Linked DNA regions of Arabidopsis thaliana. The protein of the gene in region 1 interacts with the protein of each later gene in a biochemical or structural test. Each region holds a gene or a part of one and is shown on either strand. Other genes may lie near its edges.

What was found.
Region 2: the proteins of AT4G36860 (region 1) and TCP15 form a complex in vitro, tested with the Arabidopsis thaliana proteins (one study listed by BioGRID).
Region 3: the proteins of AT4G36860 (region 1) and UBQ3 form a complex in vitro, tested with the Arabidopsis thaliana proteins (one study listed by BioGRID).
Region 4: the proteins of AT4G36860 (region 1) and TCP14 form a complex in vitro, tested with the Arabidopsis thaliana proteins (one study listed by BioGRID).

The regions. Positions count from the first base shown.
Region 1 is NC_003075.7:17,356,993-17,364,198, forward strand, and holds AT4G36860 (LIM domain-containing protein), read right to left. Parts: upstream 5,123-7,206; 5' UTR 4,684-5,122; intron 4,218-4,683; 5' UTR 4,198-4,217; coding exon 3,909-4,197; intron 3,794-3,908; coding exon 3,448-3,793; intron 3,316-3,447; coding exon 3,195-3,315; intron 3,113-3,194; coding exon 3,029-3,112; intron 2,929-3,028; coding exon 2,809-2,928; intron 2,711-2,808; coding exon 2,498-2,710; intron 2,404-2,497; coding exon 2,341-2,403; intron 2,265-2,340; coding exon 2,146-2,264; intron 2,059-2,145; coding exon 2,000-2,058; coding exon of another isoform or gene 1,965-1,999; exon of another isoform or gene 1,908-1,964; coding exon 1,588-1,907; 3' UTR 1,379-1,587; downstream 1-1,378. UniProt on the Arabidopsis thaliana protein: Acts redundantly with DA1 and DAR2 to regulate endoreduplication during leaf development.
Region 2 is NC_003070.9:26,214,364-26,219,896, reverse strand, and holds TCP15 (TCP family transcription factor), read right to left. Parts: upstream 3,889-5,533; 5' UTR 3,449-3,888; coding exon 2,471-3,448; 3' UTR 1,826-2,470; downstream 1-1,825. UniProt on the Arabidopsis thaliana protein: Transcription factor involved the regulation of plant development. Together with TCP14, modulates plant stature by promoting cell division in young internodes. Represses cell proliferation in developing leaf blade and specific floral tissues.
Region 3 is NC_003076.8:771,069-776,464, forward strand, and holds UBQ3 (polyubiquitin 3), read right to left. Parts: upstream 2,446-5,396; 5' UTR 2,204-2,445; exon of another isoform or gene 1,829-2,203; coding exon 908-1,828; 3' UTR 592-907; downstream 1-591. Other genes in the region: AT5G03250 (Phototropic-responsive NPH3 family protein), read left to right, coding at 3,523-3,581, 3,882-3,951, 4,064-5,287, 5,362-5,396.
Region 4 is NC_003074.8:17,556,261-17,562,507, reverse strand, and holds TCP14 (TEOSINTE BRANCHED, cycloidea and PCF (TCP) 14), read right to left. Parts: upstream 3,716-6,247; 5' UTR 3,505-3,715; coding exon 2,035-3,504; 3' UTR 1,249-2,034; downstream 1-1,248. UniProt on the Arabidopsis thaliana protein: Transcription factor involved the regulation of plant development. Binds to the Up1 elements (5'-GGCCCAWW-3') in early light-induced proteins (ELIPs, e.g.

The DNA.
Region 1 (7,206 bases):
ATATAATGTTGCAGTTTTGATTTGTTTCTCAAACACTAAAAACCAAAATTAAAATTTTGCAACCTTCAAATTATACTTTACAACTTTTTCAAAAGGCAATAGAATAATTTCAAGATTAGCTAGTGGATTAATGAAATTCTCTGGTTCATGAATTCTGAAATAACAAAAAAAAAAGAAAAAGAAACAAAGGTTAATACGTTTTGTCACGTTACGTCGTTTTTGCCCTCGACAAGACATTATGAACGATCAATTCATTAGCCCTAATTCTAAATGACGAGTACTCTACCAACCATTAATTTTGTTAACATCATACGATATAATGTTGACGAATGACGATAATATCTAGAAAAAATTGAATTCTTAGAGGTGACTTTTAAAATATGTCATACCAAAGAAATATATCATGTCCACTAAAACGTCTTCACTTTAATCGATCGTAAAAACATCAAGAATCCGTTTGCTCTCCCTCTCCAACATGAGTATCCTCATTTTTTTTTAACAAAAACTTTTTAATATATACTTTAAAATTAGATTTCAATATTAGCAAAAAACCATTAATTTCTATATCGATGAATAAAATTTTGATTTGGTTATAAGAAAAAACATTAGCTTAAATAAAATTTGTTGAAACATAAACGCTTGATAGAGAAAATGTTTTAGAAAAAAAAACCAAAGAGAGAAGAAAGAAACGGCGACGAGGCGCCGCGACAAGTTGGATGAGGAAGTGGGAAACACGTGTGAATATATCATCCTATCTCTCTATGTTTATCCTCATATCCCACATCTTCACAATGTTTTTTGTATCTCTTTATCATCATTTGTTGATAATGTCTAATATTTATATTTGGAAATTAATGATTGACAATTGACTTGAGACGTTTTCGTTTTTTATACTCTAGAGAATTGACTGAACATCTCGATCGAGAGAACTCATCTTCCCATAATACTAAGTTACTTGAATGTTGTTTTACACGATCTTGTAGACCATAGTAGTTTTGATCAACAAAATATCATTTTACAAACGATAGAAAGATAGAGAGCATGGAGTGTATTTTTTCACAATGTCTGTATTTTAATTAACAGATGGCAAGCATGCATACTATAATATTAATCTAGTTAGACAGGTCAATATGAGGATACTTCTACATTCTACATATTTGACCTTCGTCCTCTCAGCGAATAGAAGAGCCATAATATACAGTACATATTATGATATAATGTGGAATTGTGGATATACAAGTCTATCCATTTTCGGATTTTCCTTATCTTTCATACTTTTATCCACTGGTCCAGATATGATGAAGTCAAACTAGTGATTGTAGTAATTTAGATTTTGAAAACAGAATAATTTGCTATCTAAGAAATAACAAGCAAAACGTTTGGCAAAAAAAGATAAAAACCAAGCCAAGAATTTTTGGTCTTGTTTCTTGACTCTTGATTTTTTACTTAAAAAGTGGAAACTTTATGACACTTAAATGTGTGTATTGTTGTAACCTATACATTTTTCTTTTTCTTTTCTTCTCAAGTCTATACTCTAAAAAACTATAACAAAGCTTGTTTTCTCTCTTTTTATAGTTTAAATTCCATTTAAGGAAATGTACCGGTCAAGCGAATATGGTCGAGGGTTCGCCTCAGACCATGCTTAAGAACTGCTTGGTTACCTTGCCTGAACCCATCCCCATATGCCGATGAAGAATCCGACTCGATTTGATGCTTGAAAAACTCACCAAGTTTCTTCTCAAAATCAGACCTCTCACCTTTCTTGGACGATGCTGACACCACAGCAGATGATGAAGAAGATGCGATGTCTACTAATGTAGAGCCAGCATAAGTCTCAGATTCCAACCACATGTGTGCTAAAACTTGACATATTCCTTCTTCCACTTCTGGTCTAAGATTTGGATACCCTACAGATATACACAGAGCAACAAAACATTTTTTGATATTTCCCTACGTTCAATTGCTCAACATAATGAGAAGGGAGTGTTCTTCAGATTACCATTTAGTCGAAGCCATGCATGCATCATCTCATGAGCAAGGATTGACCCGGTTAACAAACTGTACAAGTGTAATACGAAAATTTTAGATATCTTATAAAGACAAAAATTTGGTTTAGGAGTGTGTTGAGAAGTGTTTTTCTTTTACCGAGGAAGTCCATATAAAATGAGAATCGCAGTGACTTCACAACGACGTATCAGCCTGCAAGGCTCTGTGATCATGTCTATTAACTTGTAGCCTGCCCCAATTCTTGGTCTCCTTAACACCTATATCAACATCTTTCTGATTCAGAAGCAATTTGTGGTGGATAGCAATTCATTACAAACTTGGAAGAATGAATACCGTGGTGACAGTTTGTTCTTCAGACAAACAAAGTCCTCTAGTTTCAGGTAAATGATGATGTCCCTGCAGCAAAATTAGATAGAAGTAGGTTGAAACAAATGAGCGAGAGAGAAAGAGAGAGTATAAACATAGTATCAATAAGATATAGAGGTTTTACGTGTTTCTCTCCTTCCATAGCTTCGTTTAGAGCTGATCTCTCCACCAAAAGCATAGGAATTTGCTGTTCCACTTTCATATGTAAGCCTTCGTAAAATTCACGTATCTCAAGGTACAATGGTTGGCATTCATGAGTGTCCATAATGGCTGAGTCGAGACATTCAAGACACAGTTTTCGACCATCATCAAGAATGAGATATTTTGTATCTTTTGGCTGAAACCATGAGCCAAAAACAGAACAACATCTGGTTTTCGAATCAGATTCTTAAATTTATTTTCCTATTAACAGAAATGCTATATCGAACAACTGACCTCCATTCGCTCACAACTGCAACACCGAGGAGTTCCATCACGCTCATGTGAAGGACAATACTTTTGCATCCAAAAGGGATGTGCCCTATACTCAATAAGACCAGCTGGATTTGTCGGAATCTAGAGGAGTTACATTTATACATACACATTAAGCTTAGTACAACCTGGGAACAAATTTTGGGTAAAATATAGAGATCAACAGAAGTTGGCTATCACTCACAAAGTTATGGCAAACATCACATTTAGGATGATGCTGCTCCTTGTAACATAATTTGTGATAAGGCCGATTTCCTGACATTGAGAACTGTAAAACAAAGCTTGAACAGGTTAAGCTTCAAAAGAATCAGGAGGATACAATAATAATACTTAATAAAATGTATAGGGACCTCATAATCTATGATGGGCTTATCACATGCATTGCAACAGAAACATTCAGGATGCCAAACGCCACCCATGCAACTCAGAAACCTTCCATGTCCTATCTCAGCTTGGCAACCGACACATATCCTCCAAGAAAATAAACAAAGAAACAAAATTGACTCATTGGAGCTAATGTGATCATGCATCATATCACTATCTAGAGATGATAGTGTCTGAAAATCTAAGAAATGGACATTAATGTATTTTTGAACCATTTACCTGTGACTAGAAGGAATGAGGAAGGGATATGGTTGAAGTATATTTCCTGGATCATATCGAGGAGGAGATCCCACATTCATACTTTCTTGAAGGGCCTTGGCGAGTAGCTCATCTTCCTCCAGTTGGGCTTTAGAACGCCTCATTTCTTCCTCTTCTAATCGAGCTTTTGCAAGCAGTTTCTCTGTTTCTTCTAGTTGAGCTTCAGCTCTCCTTTTCTCTTCTTCCTCGATTTGAGCTTGAGCTACCCGTCTTTCCTCTTCCTCTGCTGCTTCTAGCTGAGCTCTCATGTATTCTTCATCCTCATCCTCATCGTCATCGTCATCTTCTTCGGTTTCAGATTTGTACTCTACAGAATATAAGGTTTAAGAAACAATTTAAGCAAGTTACATTTCCACACATAACTTTCTTTCTTCTCTTTGTTTTTCTCTATGCATTACCAACGGAGAATTAAACAACATTACCGATTATTTTCTTTCCTTTGTCATCTTGTGGAATTACATGTTCTTGTTCAGAAAGAGAAAGTGCAATAGCACATTCAATCTCCTCTTTGTCAAAATCAGATCCTTCCTGAATCAGAAATTCAAGAAACCCTTTTATCTTCAATTCAAAATGAACCAAAAAACAGTAAAGTTCACTTACCGCAGAATAACGAGGACCTTCCAAGTTTCTATCTTCTCTATATCTTCCATTACATTGTCCATCAGAAAACTTATGGCTAGAACCTTTAAGGATTTTAGTTAGCCACCCCATTGGCAACAACAATCCCTTACCTGCATAGAGAAACACTGTTATACATCCAAGAAAGAGAAGAAACTCCATGTCTTTTGTTTTTTTGTTTTTCCTTAATCAAGGATTAAGACAATAATTGGTAAGAAAGAATCAGACTGATCCAACAAAGAAAGTTAAATAATATGCAAATGGCAAAACAGCAATTGAAGAAGGTATTATTATAGGGAGATTGCATCAAATATAAAAGGGTTACCGAAATCTTAAAGACTGAATTGAAAATAAGGAACCAAAGTACGGAGCTTATTACAAACAATCTCAAGACCCTAAATTGTAATAATATCCAGAAAAAGATTATCCACATCATCCTCAAAACAATCAACCTAATCTACATTCATCATTCCAAATACCCATAAGAAGAAAAATGAAATCTTTATGAAGTTTATTACTGTTAAAGAAAAGGAATCTAAGTACAAGTCAAAAACAGAGTAAAGAGAAATCGCAAATTACCTGAAGGAGATGACAATAAAATTAGCAAAATTAGATGACCCTATGGATCAAAAAAGGAAACTCAATAAACATGATTCTTCAACTTCTCTCGATCACCCTAAAAATCAGGACTTTCTTAGGGAATTGACAGCAGAAACAGAGCAGCAATAGAGAGAGAGAAAGTGAAGGGAGACACTTGAATTCGAAGCAAAACCCTTTAGCTTTTAGAACCCGTGACTGTTAATTATCTTAAAAAGCGTGAAGAAAGCTTAATAAATGGAACAGAATAGAGAGAGAGAGATGAGTAGAGGATAAATCTCCATTAAACACACTTAAAGGTAAGAACTTTATGGAGAAGATGATGGAAATTGTTACGTTTTTTTTGGTTGGGAAGGTCAAGCAAGTGGGCACTTGTTTACAAAAAAAAAAACTAATCATATTATTTTACGGAAGAAATTATTAAGAAGGTTTATAGAAATCAAATGTTTGAAAAATTAAGAGAGAAGAAAAAAAAGAGCTGATGTTTACTAGCATTAACACTAGTGACACACAATCTTTGACTCTCCTCTAATTTACTCTTCTTTAGCCTTTTTTCAACACTCCTAAGTTGATGATTTTGCTCATGACTTTTACTATTCACAATAAAATACCGTTTTTTTCTTTCACATCAAATTTTTAATTAAAATTAATAGAAAAAAGTAAAATAAAACAAAAGTTTAATATACTTCAATGAATAATAACTCGCACATGAATGGAATAAATTTTGTGTCCAACACATCACCCTGTTCGAAATCCCCTGGTCTGTAAACCCAATTTTACACAAAAATACAAAGCAGAAATATAGAAACTGAAAAAAATCATTGAAAATTGTTAGTAGGTAAGGTTATCTAATACTTTATTTAGCTCAACCTAATGCATTATTTAGTTACATACGACCAAATTAATTGGAAAAATATAGACAATATTATCTGGATAATTAGATGAGATGACCCATTGCTAATCACAATTGTACATTACAGTTTCTTATATATATTATTATTTTATTTTTGTGGTTGAGATTAAATTTTGTTAGAAGGATCAAGAGAATTCGGTGGGTTCAATATAAAACCACATGTGAAAAAAAAAACGTGTATATTGTGATTAGCCAATCAATTAGTTGTTTAGGTGCCCAAACTTACTGTGCCACCGCAAGTTTTATCAAAATTAGGTGCTTAGCAAGATGATTCAACTACTCCAGGATATTTTATTTTCCTCTGTTAATATTTTTTTTTTCTGATTGTTTTATTTTAGTAGTAGTTGAATCAAGTGACGTTCTTTAAATTGTGATCCCACTCACTTCTTACGCAAGCAATGAATTAAAGTACTGCAATAGACAAACTTATTTGTTATATATTGGTCATCAAAGTTATCAATTAGCTTTCCAAAAATTTCACTTTATTCACATCTATAAATCATTGACACTAATACTGATGCCATATATTACTAAAGAAAAAAAGAAAGAAAGATAGTTGTATTATCCAGTGGCCATATATTTTAACCAGGCTTCTTAAGGCCCATATGGTAAATTTGGGCCGACGAATCAAAACCCTTATTGTAGAATAATTTTTAAGTTTAAATCAGTTACAGATAGTTGTATTATCAGTGGCCATATATCATATAATGATTGTGGGCTGGGTTTTTTTTTTTTTTGTCTAACAATTTTTGACGATAATATCTTTAATATTGAGCTACAAACAATTTTCATTTTAAAAAAATGCGCCGTTGAATCAAATAGAAAACAGAGAAATCATGTTGAAAAAAACAAAACAGTTAATTTAGAAAATAAAAATTTATGTATTGACAAAAATCCATTTTCATATTATATAATTACTCCCTTTTGACAAGAGAAGTTATTATTACTCTTCGACCATATCAATTTCTAAATTATTTTTAAGCATAAAAATAAAAAGAGTAAAAAAGATTTTGAAGCTTGGTGATGAAAAGTTGAAAACACAGGCTGTCACGCTGGATGATCAAAACACGTGGCACATTGAGGAACGTTGATCCCAGCATGGACCACAAATCCCACGTGGCCATGGCCATCCCTTGCCGGTTTTCCAGGTGGACCAATCAAAATTAATATGTCTCTTAGGACCATTTTTTTTATATGTACACGTTTTCATTTTGAAAACATATTGATAAGGAAAAATAAATCAAGCATTTTTTTAGTTGTAGATTACAACGACGGTGTGACTGGTTCGCTGCTTCTTTTTTCCATTGGGGACTTCTATAATTTAGTCACTACCAATAAATCATTCATCATAATTTAATTGCAAAGTACAGATATCTCCTAAACATGTTTATCAAAAAATGTTACTCCGTGTTCATCTACGATTTATATAAATATTAGAGATATAACACTACGGTCCTTATACATAAAAGAACTGAATTAAGTGTTTTGTATAATATTTTCTTATGTATTTATATATATATATACAAAAACATTATAACAAAATGGTCAAGATATCCAAAAAGCTACTATAACAAATGGTCCTAGCTAATTAT
Region 2 (5,533 bases), on another chromosome or scaffold:
CACAAACCTATACTTGAGTACTCTCTTTTTTTTTTCTCTTAGCCCAATACGTGGGCCTTACAAAACATTTAATAAATAGGCCTTATGAGATCCCATGTCATATATCTAGCCCATCAATACCAATCAATGGGGATGGAGAAAATATATTCACTATCCAAACTGGGCTGGAACTTAGAAAAGTATCATCTAATTAGTTCTTTTTCTTTCATAAATGAAAAGGTTCAAAACATTTTGTGATTATAGATAAATATATCTTCTTTATCATGATATCTTCCAGAAATATATAGAATGATTATAGTGAAGAAGAAGAATGATTAAACAAAATAGATAAGCAAGTGATGGAATGATGATCATCTAATCTTTTCCAGATCAAAAACAAAGAACCCACATGAATACACTCTTCTATAATGGTACTTAACTACTTATAACTACGTAGATCCATACATCTATATTTTAAGCATACTTTAGTGAACATTTTAATTCCTTTTGGACCTATTGAGTAATGCCAGATTACTACTACTTGATCTACTTGTTGTGCCCTTTCCTTTTGTTGCAGATTTCTTTTTACTATAAAATAAAACGCCGACATAGAAACAATGATCGGTCATGACTCGTATCTTATTGTTTATCTAGAAAGTAATACGTAAACAATAATATACAAATATCAAAAAAGATTCATGACATCATCTGTGTTTTAGTGTCTATATATACATTTTACTTTTGTCATCGTGAAATCTAGTTTAGTTTAGCCGCCAATTGATATGATTATTGAGATCATCAAATAGACGTTCGTCTATAAATGCTTGATATCAACCGTTAGTAAAAAAAAATGCATGTATGTCACAATATTTGACTTTCTTTAATTACCATATTTGATTAATTGATAGAACATATGGATGAGGTTATATAACCGACATGCCTATGATGTCAAGGAATGGTTCACACCGATCTATAGAAGTTTCAAGTATTATTTCCATAATAAACTGATATATAATTTATATTGTTTATATTAACAGGATGTGTGTGCATTATTTTAGAATTATTAACGTCATAATTCCCATGCTCGTTGATTTATACACCTTTCTCTATGTATACCCATGCATGGTAAGAACGTATCACATACATTATACTAAAATAAATCCAATAATGTAGACCGACACAAAATGCAGCGATATGGACCATATGGTTATTACGCATGTTACATAGACTTGTGTATTTTTCTGTATAACGAAAAATTCCTGGTTATTTTGTATATCATCAATGTATATGTCTCAATTAATTATAGACATATATAATCTATGTTTCATCCAACGAAAACACTTCAGAAATAAATGATCAAGCTGAAATCTATAACCATCAAAAGTTTTTAGTTCTAACTTCAATCTATAAATTTGTTTATAGACATTGTTTTTAAAACACATTTTTCTCTGATTTTCAGCAGAAAATGAAATATATATTCTTGGTATTTTTTGGGTATCCGAAAATTCACAAATATTGACGTATAAATACAGGTTCCTGCTTGGTGATGAGTTTCATAGATCCAGAGATTGTAAATCGTACGTGAGTCTTCAAACATAGCACCAGACTAATTAAGTTCTTAGCTACCTTATACGGATAATGGACCTATATATTTTTTTTTTGATAATTCTCCTTGTATCTTTTGATTCATAATCAAATAATTTTGGTAATATCATTAGCAAAATTAAATGCCTTCAATTTTTGCAACGGCTATAAATTGAACGTATCCAAACCACCATGCGCATAAACCTACTGGCATTAATATGGCATCATATCTACAATGCATCCCCTCGTCAACACACTTATAATTAACCAAAACAATCACACTTAATGCTTTGACCTATATGATTTTGTTACTATATATATCTACATTATCTTAGCATAGTCACCAATAGACCAGTCAGGAGTAAGATGTTAATCATGCAAAGAAATTAACATATTAAAAGAGATAGCTAGAACCTGAATAATTGCTCACAATGCATAAGATGTAGCTTCTTCGAGACAATGTAACCATGAACGAAGTGGAAGATAATAATTTGGCATGCGAAATAATTTATTGATAATCCGTACTGAATTAATATACATATATAAAAATTGTTCAAAAACCCTAATCAAGTATTAGAAAACTCTCACACTCAATAGTAATGAGGAAAACATTTCACAAGACAACTACTTCAAGCAAAAATCTCTAGAATAATAAAACCAAAGCCTTGCATGCAAAAACCACAAACTAAAACATATCGATTATCAGGTTCTTAATTACTTACTCAATACATTAATCAGAAAAATAAACAAGATGAAATCCGTAGAATATTAGAATTTAGAAATAAATAAAAATATATGAAAAAGAAGCAATGCAAAAAAAACACGCTTGTTAAGAACAAACAAACAAACGAAAGGACAAAAAAAGAAAAATAAATCTCACAGAATATATTTGTTTGTGTATGTTTGCCTAGGAATGATGACTGGTGCTTCCATCTTCTTGATGGTTGTGATGATGATCTCCGTCACGGTTTTGCTGGTTGTTGTTATGGTTCCCCGTCTCCGCCACCGGTCGGTAAGCAGCATTCAACGCCGCTAAAACTCCATAATGGCTATGTTCTCCACCGCCACCTCCTCCTCCTCCATAACCAGAAGCCAAAGGCTGTCCAGAAAACAAAGCAATAGGAGCTGCAAAATTCATCAAATGAACTCCACTACCGCCGCCACTACCACCACTGTTGGGGTTGTAAACATCTCCGGCGACAACACCGGAATGATGAGGATTAATATTAAAAGCCCAAAGATTCTGTGTGTTGTCACCACTACTCCAAAACGGTGCCGTTGCAGGACTCTGACTCGTAGGTAAAGATCCAGCAGTTGATTGTACTAGATAGTTACCCATTTGGTTGTGATCTAAAAGCTGTGAAGAAGAAGAAGACGAAGAATGTGACTCGTTCTTGGGACGAACCTGATGCTGATGTTGAAGATGATGAGTCATGGACTGATGTGGTGAATGAAAGTAATAGCTACTAGGAGTTGTACGAAGATGAGCAGCAGAGAGAGAAGATCTTGAGCTACGAAGTGAGATGTTTAAAGAAGTGAAGTTAGCCGGAATGGTTCCAGTCCCTGTAGCGGCTATAACCGCTGGTTCTGCTTGTTGGAGTAGCCACTCAATAGTTTCACCGTCGGATTTGTGACCAAGCTCACGTGTGAGCTGAAAGACACGTGCAGCACACATGGCAGGCATACGGATCCGACGGCCTCGGCCTTCGACTTTGGTGTGTCGGTCTTTAGTAGAGGTTCGTTTAGGAGGAGGCTTCTTAGGTTCGGAGTTAGGTTCGGAAGTAGTAGAGATGATGGCTAAGGAAGTGGAAGAGGAGGAGGTAGAAGAATCAAGAAGCTGGAGAGGGAAGTTGGGTCGATGGTTATGATCCGGATCCGGATCCATGATGATGATGATGATGATGATCGAAGCTTTGGTGGTGGGGAAGTGGGACTATACTACTGTCTCTGTTAGATCTTTATGTGAGCCATAGTTTTTTTCTCTCTCTATAAATCTCTGTTTTTTTGCTGATACTTAGAGAGAGATAGAGAGGTTATAATATGGTCCTTAGGACATGAAACTCCTTTCAGATGGGAAGCTTAGCTGTGTCTATGTCTGAGAGAGAGAGAGAGATTAAAGCAATGAATATGAAAGCATGGACTTTTTTTTTCTCTTGCTGCTTTATATCTTTTGTGTTTTATTTTTGGAATTTTATTTACATTATAAACTATTCCCTTTGAGAATTTTTCGTTATTTTTGGAAATAAAAGAGATGGGCTTACGTGGTTCTCCAATCTGTACAAATATTCATTCAAATAAAATGTTTTTCCTTATTACGTACAGTGATCAAAGTGAGTGAAAATAAATGTTGTTCGTGTATTTATTGTGTTTGGATACATAGTTTTTTACAATAATACAATTACCCTATACGAACACTCTTTTTCATTCTTTACAATAATTAAAAAGTGACGTCAGTTTCTCGTCGTAACTGTTAACTTCAAGCGATCGGGAAATTAATTGCACATTTAGCGAAAATTTCAGCGATTCAGACAGAACTGAGAAGTTTACATATATTTTGTACATATGTGACAACAGAATAATAAATAGATAGAATTATTATTGACAGAATGACAGTGATTAATCCATGGCTCTATGGTAGTTCACGAGATCCACATGATATAATAGAATCCAACTGCTTTTTTTATGAAACAGATGGATTGTTTTTTCTCCTCTGTGACTCTTGAATGAGTTACCAGTTTGATATTATTATTTATAAAACCATAGTTACAGTGCTTTATAGATATATAAAAGCAAATTTGTAATGCTTCTCTTTTGTTTCCACCATTGGAGTTATCTCATTGACATACAATTGTCGTTAAAAGATGTAGCACTAAATTTAGAAAATTATTTTGATACTCTGATGTGGACAGAACATTGATCTTTTTTTTCTGAAACGAATTTTTATATGTAGTGAATAGTGATGAAGAAGGCTCCTTCTTATGTGATGATTATTCATATAAGCTGTTCAAAGAATCAAAATATACGGTGTTACATAGATTATACTACTAATTAGGACCAGCGTAATATATATATATATATATATATATATATATATATGGTAACGTTAAAAATATAATTGAATTAGAGAATACAAAAGAAAAAAATAATATAAAAGTAAATTCGAATTATTATGAAGATATTTTAAATAAATATTTTTTAAAAATCTCAAATTTGTGTTTTATAGAAATTGAGTGTAACAAAATAAATCCAAGTTATTACATAAACCAACATAAGCATGCATATAATAATTGCCAGGTAGTATATTTGAATATACATATGATTTTGTTAAAAGAAATGGAGAAAACCAATTATAAAAATTCTTACACATATTAATTTTGAGTTTAGGCAAATTCATCTTTCTTAGTATATATTGAAAATTGTAAAATATATTTGTTATAATCTTACTATTCTTTTTCAAATGTCTAAGCTTTATGAAGATAAAACTTCTCAAAAATCAAAATATAGTATTTTCTATTGTGGCTAATTATCGTCTCTTAGTTTAGACGAATCATTAACGTTACGTGTAAGGTGTAACTAGTTCTGATGATCTCTTAGGAACGTTGATTAGTCTAACTATTAGAAACTTTACGCATAGCCACATAAAACCTATGGGATGTCCAAACATTTTCGCCCAAACATATTTACAAATGACAAAATTTTATATTTTAATTACTTATATATGTGATATCTTTTTATGTTTTAACTAGAATATGTTCATTGACCATAATTTTCCCTCGTAAAATATAAATAACTAAAAGTATCGGCCTGCTTGTAGTAATTAGTAAACCAATCAAAATATCAAGAAAACTATATATCAAAGACTAAACAGAAAAGAAAACGAATTGATAGTTAAAAGGTGTTGTGCATATTTGACAAATCTAAAAAGCAAAACAATTACGATTCACAAATATGATCAGAAGATATTATGAAT
Region 3 (5,396 bases), on another chromosome or scaffold:
TGTCTCCCACTTTCTGCTATGCTTTTACAACAACAGTTCAAGATTTGGAATCGTTTTCTTTCTCCACCAATCGTAGTAATACTTCTTTTTGTGTTTGTTGAAATTTTGCAAGATTCTCTCTTCCTCTGGTTAATACACATAACTTACTTGGTAAGCTTGGCTGCATTTTCTTTTCAAGCTTTTAATCAAAGACTCACTAGAAATTGCAAAGGCAAACATAAAATTATGTGATCAAACTCCTACTGTGAGTTTTTGGTTACAAACAAAAGTTAAAAACAAAAGCTTGATATTTAAAAGATAAACTCAACACATATGCATTTGACTGGCGCACAGAAGACAATTCAAGACTTGGGAAAACAGTGAGCCATCAAAATCGTCAGATAATTCAGGGAATATATTGAATGTGGAGATGTGGTAATCACACTATTGCACACAAAGAGTGGCAAACAAGCGGCGCCCTTGGTTTGGTATAGTAAGAGACAATTGTTTTGGACTGTTTGTGTTGCCATATTCACAAAAATACTATTGAGCTATGTATGTTAAACATTATGGTCAATGAGTAGTAGTGAACATTCAAGTTTTTTTTTTTTTCCACTTCAAGTTTTTCATCTTATTATTATTTTTCGTTGTGATGCAGTAGTACGGCCCATCTTCACCAGTAGTATATCAAAGCCGAAACAGATGACAAATTGTTTAACATGCACTTGGATTATTATTGAGAGTTGAAATACAAAGGCCCGTTACAAGCCCAAACGAAGGTACATAAAAGAAAAGCAGAAAATGAAAACGAAATCGATAGGGATAAGTTTTTCCAACTGACGGAAACACAAACTACACCAGGTGAAATAGATCACCTCCCAAGTGCATGAGACACGAACCAACCACTTATCATCAGATCACAAAAAGCTTAGAAGCTTCCACCACGAAGACGAAGAACCAAGTGAAGAGTCGACTCCTTCTGGATGTTGTAATCTGCAAGTGTGCGACCATCCTCAAGCTGTTTTCCAGCGAAGATGAGTCTCTGTTGGTCTGGTGGGATCCCTTCCTTGTCCTGAATCTTAGCCTTGACATTATCGATGGTGTCTGAGCTTTCAACCTCCAGAGTAATGGTCTTTCCGGTAAGGGTCTTCACAAAGATCTGCATACCACCACGGAGACGAAGCACAAGATGAAGTGTCGACTCCTTTTGGATGTTGTAATCTGCAAGGGTGCGTCCATCTTCGAGCTGCTTACCGGCAAAGATAAGCCTCTGCTGATCCGGAGGAATTCCCTCTTTATCTTGGATCTTAGCTTTGACATTGTCAATGGTGTCTGAACTCTCAACCTCAAGGGTGATTGTTTTACCAGTGAGGGTCTTGACAAAGATTTGCATACCACCTCTGAGACGAAGCACCAAATGAAGGGTCGACTCCTTTTGAATGTTGTAGTCAGCAAGAGTTCTTCCGTCTTCAAGCTGCTTACCGGCAAAGATAAGTCTCTGCTGATCCGGAGGGATTCCTTCCTTGTCCTGGATCTTTGCTTTGACGTTGTCAATAGTGTCAGAGCTCTCAACCTCCAAAGTAATGGTCTTGCCAGTCAGAGTCTTGACAAAGATTTGCATACCACCTCTTAAACGGAGAACCAAATGAAGGGTTGATTCTTTCTGAATGTTGTAATCGGCCAAGGTACGGCCATCTTCTAGCTGTTTACCGGCGAATATTAATCTTTGCTGATCCGGAGGAATGCCTTCCTTGTCCTGAATCTTTGCCTTAACATTGTCGATGGTGTCAGAGCTCTCAACCTCGAGAGTGATAGTCTTGCCAGTGAGTGTTTTCACGAAGATTTGCATCTGAAATAAAACAATAGAACAAGTAGAAACCAATCAGCGAACATATACCAAATCAAAAGCCGTAAGAGAAATCAAAACAACACCAAAGAGAAACGGATCTAAACATAAGAAACCTAAAACAGAGAGAATCGAACAAAGAAAACACAAAAATTGAATAGATCGTCCTTGAAAATCCTAATTTCACAATCAAGCAAGAAATTACACAGATGTAAACACTACGAATCGATATCTTAGTAATCAGGACAAAATTTAGAAGCTGGATTGACGAAACGAACAATATTGTCAAAAGCAATTTATACAAAAGATTCAATAATCCACATAACAAAAATTGGAGATCAGATACGAATCAAAAACAAAAAGAATCAGAAAATATACCTTGAAAGAGAGAGTCGCGAGAGATTTGCAGAGATCGCTTTAGGCTTTGGGAGAGATTGAAGAGTCAGAAAAAGACGAAAGGATGAATTATTATCTTCCACACGAAGGTCTTCTTTATATCGCAAACCAAAAGCCCAAAACCGTCTTTTCTATTAATGAGAATAAAATATCTTTAGCCAAAACAAAAAAAGGAAGATATCAGTTGAGGATTATTATCACGAAACTAAAGGAAGGAATCATATGATACGTGTCATATTTTCCACCGTGCGTTTTTAAAAGACCGACTCAAGTAGAAACATCCTATGGTGGTGGTTGGATTAGGTCATCCATTACATCTGCTTCACTGACATTTTTCTATTTTTCTTTTTGTATATACTTTTCCTCAAATAATTTCTTTCTTTTCTATAGAAGAATTTAATCAATAAGGAAAAAGTTCAAAAAAGATTCTTTCCATTAAGACTATGTCTTGGTTAACCCAACCCATTAAGAATAAGCAATCATAATATATATAGAGAATACTAATACTATATATGAGATTTTTCTTTTAATTTCATGTTGATTATGATAGTTTATCTTCTTGATTTAATTTATCAATACTTGGCATAAAAGATTCTAATCTACTCTAATAAAGAAAAGAAAAAAAAGTATCTACCATTGACTAATTAAAATAAGGAAACTTATCTACCAAATTTGAGTATTTTTTAGAACAATCTTTTTGGTTTAATTCCAAAACTCTAAACCTAATTGTTGGGAAAAAGGACCTAATTTTTAAGAAAAGTTAATAATTAGAAGATCTGTATGTTTTTTTTTTTGATCCAAGTTTTTATTTCTTTTCTCTTTTTTTCATGATAAAATCTATGTTTTTTTAGTCTACAATTAAAGTAATTGTTATTATTTTCTTTATCTTTTTTTGTTGTTGTTGTTAATTCCCTTTTTTTTTTTTTAACAGCAACTTCTTAAAAAAAAAAACAGTTGGGCCTTGAATTTATTTCAGGCCTGCGTTATTAAGCCCAGATAATAACTCAAAACAAAAAAAATGTTGAACCGGAATAAACCCGCGAGATTAAATGCCGGTTTTCAGGTAACATAGAAGAAGAATATATGAGGATTGAAGAAGTATTCAAGAGGCGGAACAATTCACAAGTCCAAGAGCTTAAATTTCTCCTCACTCTTCTGCTACAGACTCGGAACTCTTTCTCTTTGCTAAAATAAGATGTTCAGGATTTTTGTTGCCCGACAATTCATGTATCTCACACTCTCTCTCTTCTCTGTTCTTACTACTCTGTTACATTACCACCAACTCAAGACTTTCTTCCACAATGGCGTTTATGAGACTTGGCTCCAAATCCGAAGCTTTCCATCGTGAAGGCCAAACCTGGTATTCTTTCTTCTGCATTGAATTAGACTAATCGACTTATAAGTCTTTGTTTCCGGTTTCGAGATCGAATTCTCTTCAATGTCGTTAATTTCTCTTGATTTTATATGTAATCAAGCTCTCATCTTTTTGTTGAAATCGAAATGGGCTCTTCCTAGAATCGTTAGTTATTGATGCAAGTTTCAAAGATCATATTTTTTTTGGAATTTAGCTCTGATTGATTTGTGACATCAATAATCAATTTTGTACGGACAAGTATATTCTGTTTTGGGTGGTGGTTTATGTCTCTCTCTTGTCTTACAGGCTTTGCACTACAGGACTCGTGAGTGATGTTACCATTGAAGTTGGAGACATGAAGTTTCATCTCCACAAGGTTAAATTTTCTCTATCTTCTCTGTTTATTTAGTCCTAGTTTTGATGTAATTGCATAAATGTGAAAGCTTGATGATCTAACTGTGTAATGTGTGTTCTTGATTTGTGTGTAGTTTCCGTTACTATCTAGAAGTGGGCTTCTTGAGAGGTTAATCGAAGAGTCTTCAACTGATGATGGATCAGGCTGTGTGTTGAGCTTAGATGAGATACCGGGAGGCGGCAAAACGTTTGAGCTTGTTACCAAATTCTGCTACGGTGTGAAAATTGAGCTTACTGCTTTCAATGTTGTTAGCCTTAGATGTGCAGCTGAGTACCTTGAGATGACTGATAACTATGGAGAAGGGAATCTTGTTGGTATGACTGAGACTTTCCTCAACGAGGTGTTTGGGAACTGGACTGACTCGATCAAAGCTCTTCAGACATGTGAGGAAGTGATTGATTACGCTGAAGATCTTCACATTATCTCCAGGTGTGTTGATTCGTTAGCTGTCAAAGCGTGCGCTGATCCAAGCCTTTTCAATTGGCCCGTGGGAGGAGGAAAGAACGCAACGAGCGGGCAGAACACTGAAGATGAATCGCATTTGTGGAATGGAATCTCTGCCTCTGGAAAGATGCTGCAACATACTGGTGAAGATTGGTGGTTTGATGACGCTTCTTTTCTTAGCTTGCCTCTCTTTAAAAGACTCATTACCGCTATTGAAGCACGTGGCATGAAGCTCGAGAATATAGCGATGGCGGTTATGTACTATACAAGGAAACATGTTCCTCTGATGAATAGACAAGTAAACATGGATGAGCAAGTGATTGAGACACCAAATCCTTCTGAAGAAGACCAAAAAACTTGTCTTGAAGAGATTGTCGGGTTGCTTCCAAGCAAGAAAGGTGTAAACCCGACCAAGTTTCTTCTCAGGCTGCTTCAAACTGCAATGGTGCTTCACGCAAGCCAATCCTCGAGGGAGAATCTGGAGAGACGAATTGGAAATCAGTTAGACCAAGCTGCTCTAGTTGATCTTCTTATACCAAACATGGGATACTCTGAAACGCTTTACGATGTTGAATGCGTCTTGAGAATGATCGAACAGTTTGTTTCGTCAACGGAACAAGCAGGCATTGTCCCTTCTCCTTGCATCATCGAAGAAGGACATTTGGTGAAGGATGGAGCTGATTTGCTAACTCCAACAACGTTAGTGGCAACTCTTGTTGACGGTTATCTTGCTGAGGTGGCACCCGATGTGAACCTGAAGCTGGCGAAGTTCGAAGCCATTGCTGCTGCAATCCCTGACTATGCAAGGCCACTAGATGATGGAGTTTATCACGCAATTGACGTGTACCTGAAGGTAATAAAGATACTGTTTCTAATTTTAACCAGTCCATGTATTAAGATTTTGATGCTGGATTGCAAATTTTGCAGGCGCATCCGTGGATTACTGATTCAGAGAGAGAGCA
Region 4 (6,247 bases), on another chromosome or scaffold:
CTCGAAGTATATATCATATAATTAGAATGTGGGAATTTATAAATATATACAGAACTGTAGTGACATACATTAATTTATTACGAATTTAAAACATGAGATCGGGGTTAGCTATATGATATAATGACAACGTGAGAATTATAACTATATACAAAAACTGTGTTTATTAATTTATTACGAATTTAAAACATTAGATCGGAGTTAGCTATAATACATAATGACAACATGAGAATTTATAAATATATACAATAATAATAGTGTCATCCATTGGTTTATTACGTACGAATTTCAAACATTAGTGTTGAAATTTTCTTTCCGTAACTAAACCTTCAAGTCCGATGATGTATACTATATGATTATATATACATTTCATATCCCTTTGACAGATGTAGTTTACAAGACAGAACGAAATATGAAAGTATATGGTGGTAAATGGTGGTAAATGGTGTTGCCATATTTAATTACAGCGATCGAGTGTGGTGAAAAAGAAAAGAGAAGAGAAAGAATTTTGTTGGTGTCAGTGAGGGAAAAAAGTGAACGTTGGTTACGGAGATGAGAGAATCAAAGAGGTCCACACGACAATCACTGCACCTGATAACGTTTTAGGTCCCACGACCCTTACAATGCTACAGTCCTCATGTCACCACCACAATCAATCTCTTTTTTGTTAATGCACCACAATCAATCTCTCTCTCTCTCTCTCTTTCTCTACTTATTGAATTTGTATAATTTATACATTCAATGATATATTATATAGTCTGCATTCACATTTATTTTTATTTGTTTTCTGTCTTCATCCTTTTTGTAAAAACTTATATTTAACCCATGCGAAAACAGATTTTTAAAACTTCAGATTATTTATCTTGATTCTTGAATATATGACCGATCGATGTTGAGTGAATATTTTCTTTCACAACATAATAATAGATTTTATAAAGTAAATTATGTTCTAATTAAACACTATCAATTTACAAATTGTTAATATTACTTTCTAAAGGCATACAAACACAAAAAGAATATACTGAAACAATCAAATATTTTTGGTGTACTTCGTCAAAAAAAAAGAAACAAAATTTTGAGCCATAACTTTGTACGCGACATTCAAACTATATCACTTTCTAATTAATTCTCATAGTCTAAACTAGTCTTGATATAATATTATCATCATATACAAAACCAGTTTTAACAATATCATGATATAATAGTATTAGATATCTCATCATATACAAAATCAGATTGATTGTTTAGTGGGGACAAACGACAAAGAAACAGAGATAAAATGAATCATATACTAAAAAAAGCATTTAATATATTTCATAGCATATAAGATCAAACGAGATATTTTTATGTTTTTTGTATCGTTTTCGTTCGACCATGTAAAACAAACGAGACACTTTGCTGTTTTCTATTAGCTTTGAAACAACTACTTCAAGGGCCAAATATAACAGAGATTGGTGGGCCAATAGAGAGAGGCCCATCTCATTCCTTGATAAAATAGTTTCTCAATTTTTTTTGTATTAACACTTAAAAAAACGTAATGTTACTAAAAAAACAGTAAGATTATACTTTGATGTATATGTTACTATTATTACTATAGGAACCAACATTGTTTGACGAATACTTTTTAGAATTTTTCTTTATGTATAATTAATTTCTTAATGGATAAAGAAAACGAAGATGATTGAGAATCGAGACGACAGTGACACTATCAGAAGAAGAAAAAAAACAATTAAAAACAATAATGATAAAAAAAAGTGTCATATTCTCCTCAAAATCCAAAAAACCTGACATAAAAAATCTCGTGTACTATTTAATCACTCACTCACAAGAAAAATCAAATTTAAAATCAAGTAAAAAAATCAAAATTAAAAAGAAAATCTCACGTGTTTTTTTTTTTTTTTTTACTTAGCAAAAAAAATTACTACAGAAAATAAAAAAAATTAACGGTGAAAACAAAAGTTTTACACAGCCGCCGAACGCCGTCACCGCTACCGCCGTCGGCAGAAAATCCCACCGTTAAAATGTTTTTGTGTGTGTCTAATCTTGCTGATCCTCCTCATCACCACCTCCAAGTGATCCACTAGCTTGAGAGTCGCCGGAAACTTGCCGTCCGTACTGGTTCAAGCCGGAGAGAATATTATGATGATGTTGTTGTTGATGATGATGATGTCTCTGTGTATTATGATGATCACCACCACCGTCACTTCTTCCTCCTTCATTATTATTACTATCTTCATTAATCTCATGATTACTAGTTGTTGCTAGCTGTTGTTGTCCAGTAAGAAATGCCATTGGCGCTGCGAAATTCATAAAATGTAAACCGCTAGAAACCGCGCCGCTTGGAACGCCCGAAACGCCACTTCTATATAACGCTGCCGCTGCCGTGTTAATGGAAGGAAACGTCCAAACAGGCTCTCCACCGCCGCCACCAGTACCAATAGAAGCTGTCATAAGACCACCTGTTTGGTTGTTATTACCACCACCACCACCTGCAGCCGCAGCCGCCGCAACCATCCAGAAATTTCCCGGTATTTGTTGCGCGGCGGCTGCGGTGGCTGTAGATCCACTGTTGCTAGATTGAAGTGTATATCCTCCGATTTGATCATGTTGGTGTTGTTGTTGTTGTTGATGCAAATCCGACGTCGTTTGGATTCTTCTTTTCTTCTCCGAGTTTAACTCTTCAGAATCTTGATCTCCTTCTTGCTTTGTTGGATTATGAAAGTTCAAAAACGACGTCGTTGGTGTGAAGTTATCAATACCAGGAAACAAAGACGACGTAGGTGCACGTCCCTGTAGATGGGGATGATGAAACCCAACACCACCACCACGTTGTTGTTGTTGTTGTTGTTGAAGCATCGCCGGAGAAAATATGTTATTAGGGCTAAAAGTGGAAGCGGCGGAGCGGAAATGAGAAGGAAGAGACATGGAAGAGCCTGAAGAACGGAGAGAGATGTTTAAAGAAGTGAAATTCGCCGGGATTGTTCCGGTTCCGGTGGCGGCGATTACAGATGGTTCAGCTTGTTGAAGAAGCCACTCTATTGTCTCACCGTCGGATTTATGACCTAGCTCTCGCGTTAGCTGAAAAACCCTAGCTGCACATAACGCCGGCATCCTTATTCTCCTCCCTCTTCCGTCTACTTTCGTGTGTCGGTCTTTCGTCGACGCTCGTTTCAACGGTGGCTTTTTAGCTGCCACCACCGCAGATTCCTCTTGCGTTTGTAATAACTCTTTTTGCGTTGTCTGCGGTTGTGACTTTTGCGATTGCGATTGAGGTTGCGATTGAGATAATTGTTGGTGTTGATGGAGAGAAAATAGAGAGGAGGAGGAGGAAGGGGAAGGTTGTTGTTGATGGTTGTCGTCGGGGTCGTGTTTTCCGAGTAGTTGAAAAGGGAAAGTAGGGCGGTGGTGATGGTGGAGGTGACGGTGGTGATCATCTCCTCCTCCTCCTCCGACGCTGTCTCCACCGTCCATTATGACATTTAAGATACTTGATGTTGGCTTTTGCATATATAAGTGGGGAGCTATAACTATTTTATATATATTTTATAAATTAGGGTTTTTGGTTTTTTATTTATATGTGATGTTTTCGACAAGAGGGGAAAAAAAATAAAGTGTATAAGTCTGAAGGAATTGATTGAGAAAGAGAGGATAAGAAAGAGAGAGACAATGGAGAAGAAAAGCTTAAAGAAACAAAGATCATGAGTGAGAATTATATGGGTGAGCTTTACATAACATTAAAAAATTAAAAGAAAAATCTCATTACATATCTTTTTTTTTTCAAATGAAAATACTGTTCATTGCTTCTTTATGAAAATTACTTAAAATCATATACTTAGAGAAATGTCAACAATGGGAATATCATTTAATAGTTGAAGAAAAGAAAGTGTCATTTAATCAACGCAAAAATGAATTGATGTAATTAGCCAATGTGAATATTTCAACGTTAATTTCTGCTCAATCAAAATCAGTCTGTTATAGTTAACTTAATCCGAATTATATCAAATTATTTTTCACGTTAATTATTTTCTCAGATAAGCATTTAGTCAACTTTTTAAAACAGTAAAAAAAAAAAAAGGTTTAAACAAAATAAATCTGTCCATAATCAAAAGATTTCGGTATATCTTTCATTATATTCTTTTCTCGATGTAGATTTACTCATCAATCAAATGAAAAAAAAAACACCCACCGTAAAAAAGGGCTACAATATTCACCGTACAACGAAAATACTTTTCACGACTAGTTAAAAATGGAAAAATCTGAACGTTGCGTTAATAAATGAGATGAAAAAATGTACAATGTGGAGTCTTTAATATATAGTAAATGTAAGAAAAATATGTCATATATGTGAAGGGGATATGGTTGGAGAGAGTCGTTGTGGCAGCAGAGTCCACGTGAGGTGTCCTCTTTTATCATTCATTCCATAAAGACAATGGAGAGGTCGACGAGAGAGTGATGGGGCCAACACTCCTCTCCAAATTAAACAACTCAATTTGGTCAAAAATTTAGTAATTTATTTCAAAACGTTTTGGGTCCTACATCATTCACGTAATCATTCTTCCCCTGCTACTTTTGCCGGAAACTAGAAACATTATCATTGTTATTCACAATTTTAAACCCAAGCATTATTCGTTTTTATTTAATCAGATAGCAAATCTCTATACAAAAAAAGTGAAGAACTATGGTATGTAACACCACTGCCCAAAAGTTGATTTATGTATGTTATCAAATAAATAGGGTTTTTCAAAAAAAAAAGAAAAAACTAAAAGTATGAATAAAATGAGACTTTTAGCATTTTAACCAACCTCTCTGTTTTTCTATTATAAATGTCTATTTTTGTTTTTTCAAAGTAAAAGAACTACTTATTAAGGCTTTGAAATATTGTAAACTAAACTCTATTAATAATACATATGGAAACTATGACTATTTTGATAAAAATAAAAATATATGATCATAGATGTCATATATATAAATATATATATATATGTTAATGAATGTATTTGATGAAGAATTTTTGTAAATAACATATGATATGTGATATGTGTTATTATTCGAAGAAATGATATAGTTTAATATTACGTACACATATTACAAACTGTTTCGACGTATTACATATTTGTTGTTTAAATAAGCACCATAAACGTATATTTAAAATAAAGAAGCAAAAGTTTCAACAACAATTAAGATTATAAAAAGAGCATAAAGAATCGAAAGTATGGTAGAGTAAATGTGGATGATGATGATAGCTTTGGGATTCCCTCTCTTGTTATAAAATATAAAACTTTGATAAATATGCATGATTATATATGATGATGGTACTTGCTTTCGTTTCGTCTATTGGGGTCTTAATTAAATGCTTAATTAGGATTTAATTAAAAATATCTGGCACTATAGCTAGGGCTCAACCTTGAATAATTACTTCTTTTAGTTTAATAACTTAAACCAATTCACTAATCAATTGGTTTTGTACTATAAATTAATTATTGTAGATTGCAGTCTACTCCCACCTAGGACGGAATCAAATGGATTGTTCATATTCATAAATGTAAAATGACAGAAACACAAGTGGTCGGTCTAAATTATAAATATTACTTACCATGAGTCCTGTAAATTATAATTATTCCTTTATGTAAGAAATAATTAACACCCCCAATAGTCACATACGTACTTGCATTGTAATGAATAAATTATTGTTGGAAGATTGAATCTAACATTTTAAGTATCATTTTACAGGCAGGTTTACTATATATATATATACTCTTGAAATTTGATTTTAATAGGGTGATCGATACCGGACCTACCCGCCCTTAGCTAGATAGTAATATAGTATATACACACTTTGTGTTAGAATAGATAGTATATTGTTGTAATATTTATATTGATGATTGATCTCATCGATATTTCAAGTAACTAGAATTTGGATACGTACCAGCAAAAATGTTTAGATACCGACTACCGAGTGTCACCATTTTGTATAGTTAATAGTAAAACACATCTGCTGAACTGAAATAAATTTATATCGTAGTTACTTGACAGAATCATATAAACAATTACTAATACTTTCTTTTACAGTTAATGTTCTTATGTAATATCTAAACTTAAAAGAAACTTTTCGTACTACGATCCGTCTCTGATAATATATAGTACTATATATGTATTCAAAATTTGGAATATATCAATAGGATGATTCATATAATTAGAGAATATGTTATTTTAACCTAAAATATAATTTAAAATTAGTTTTCAAATCAAA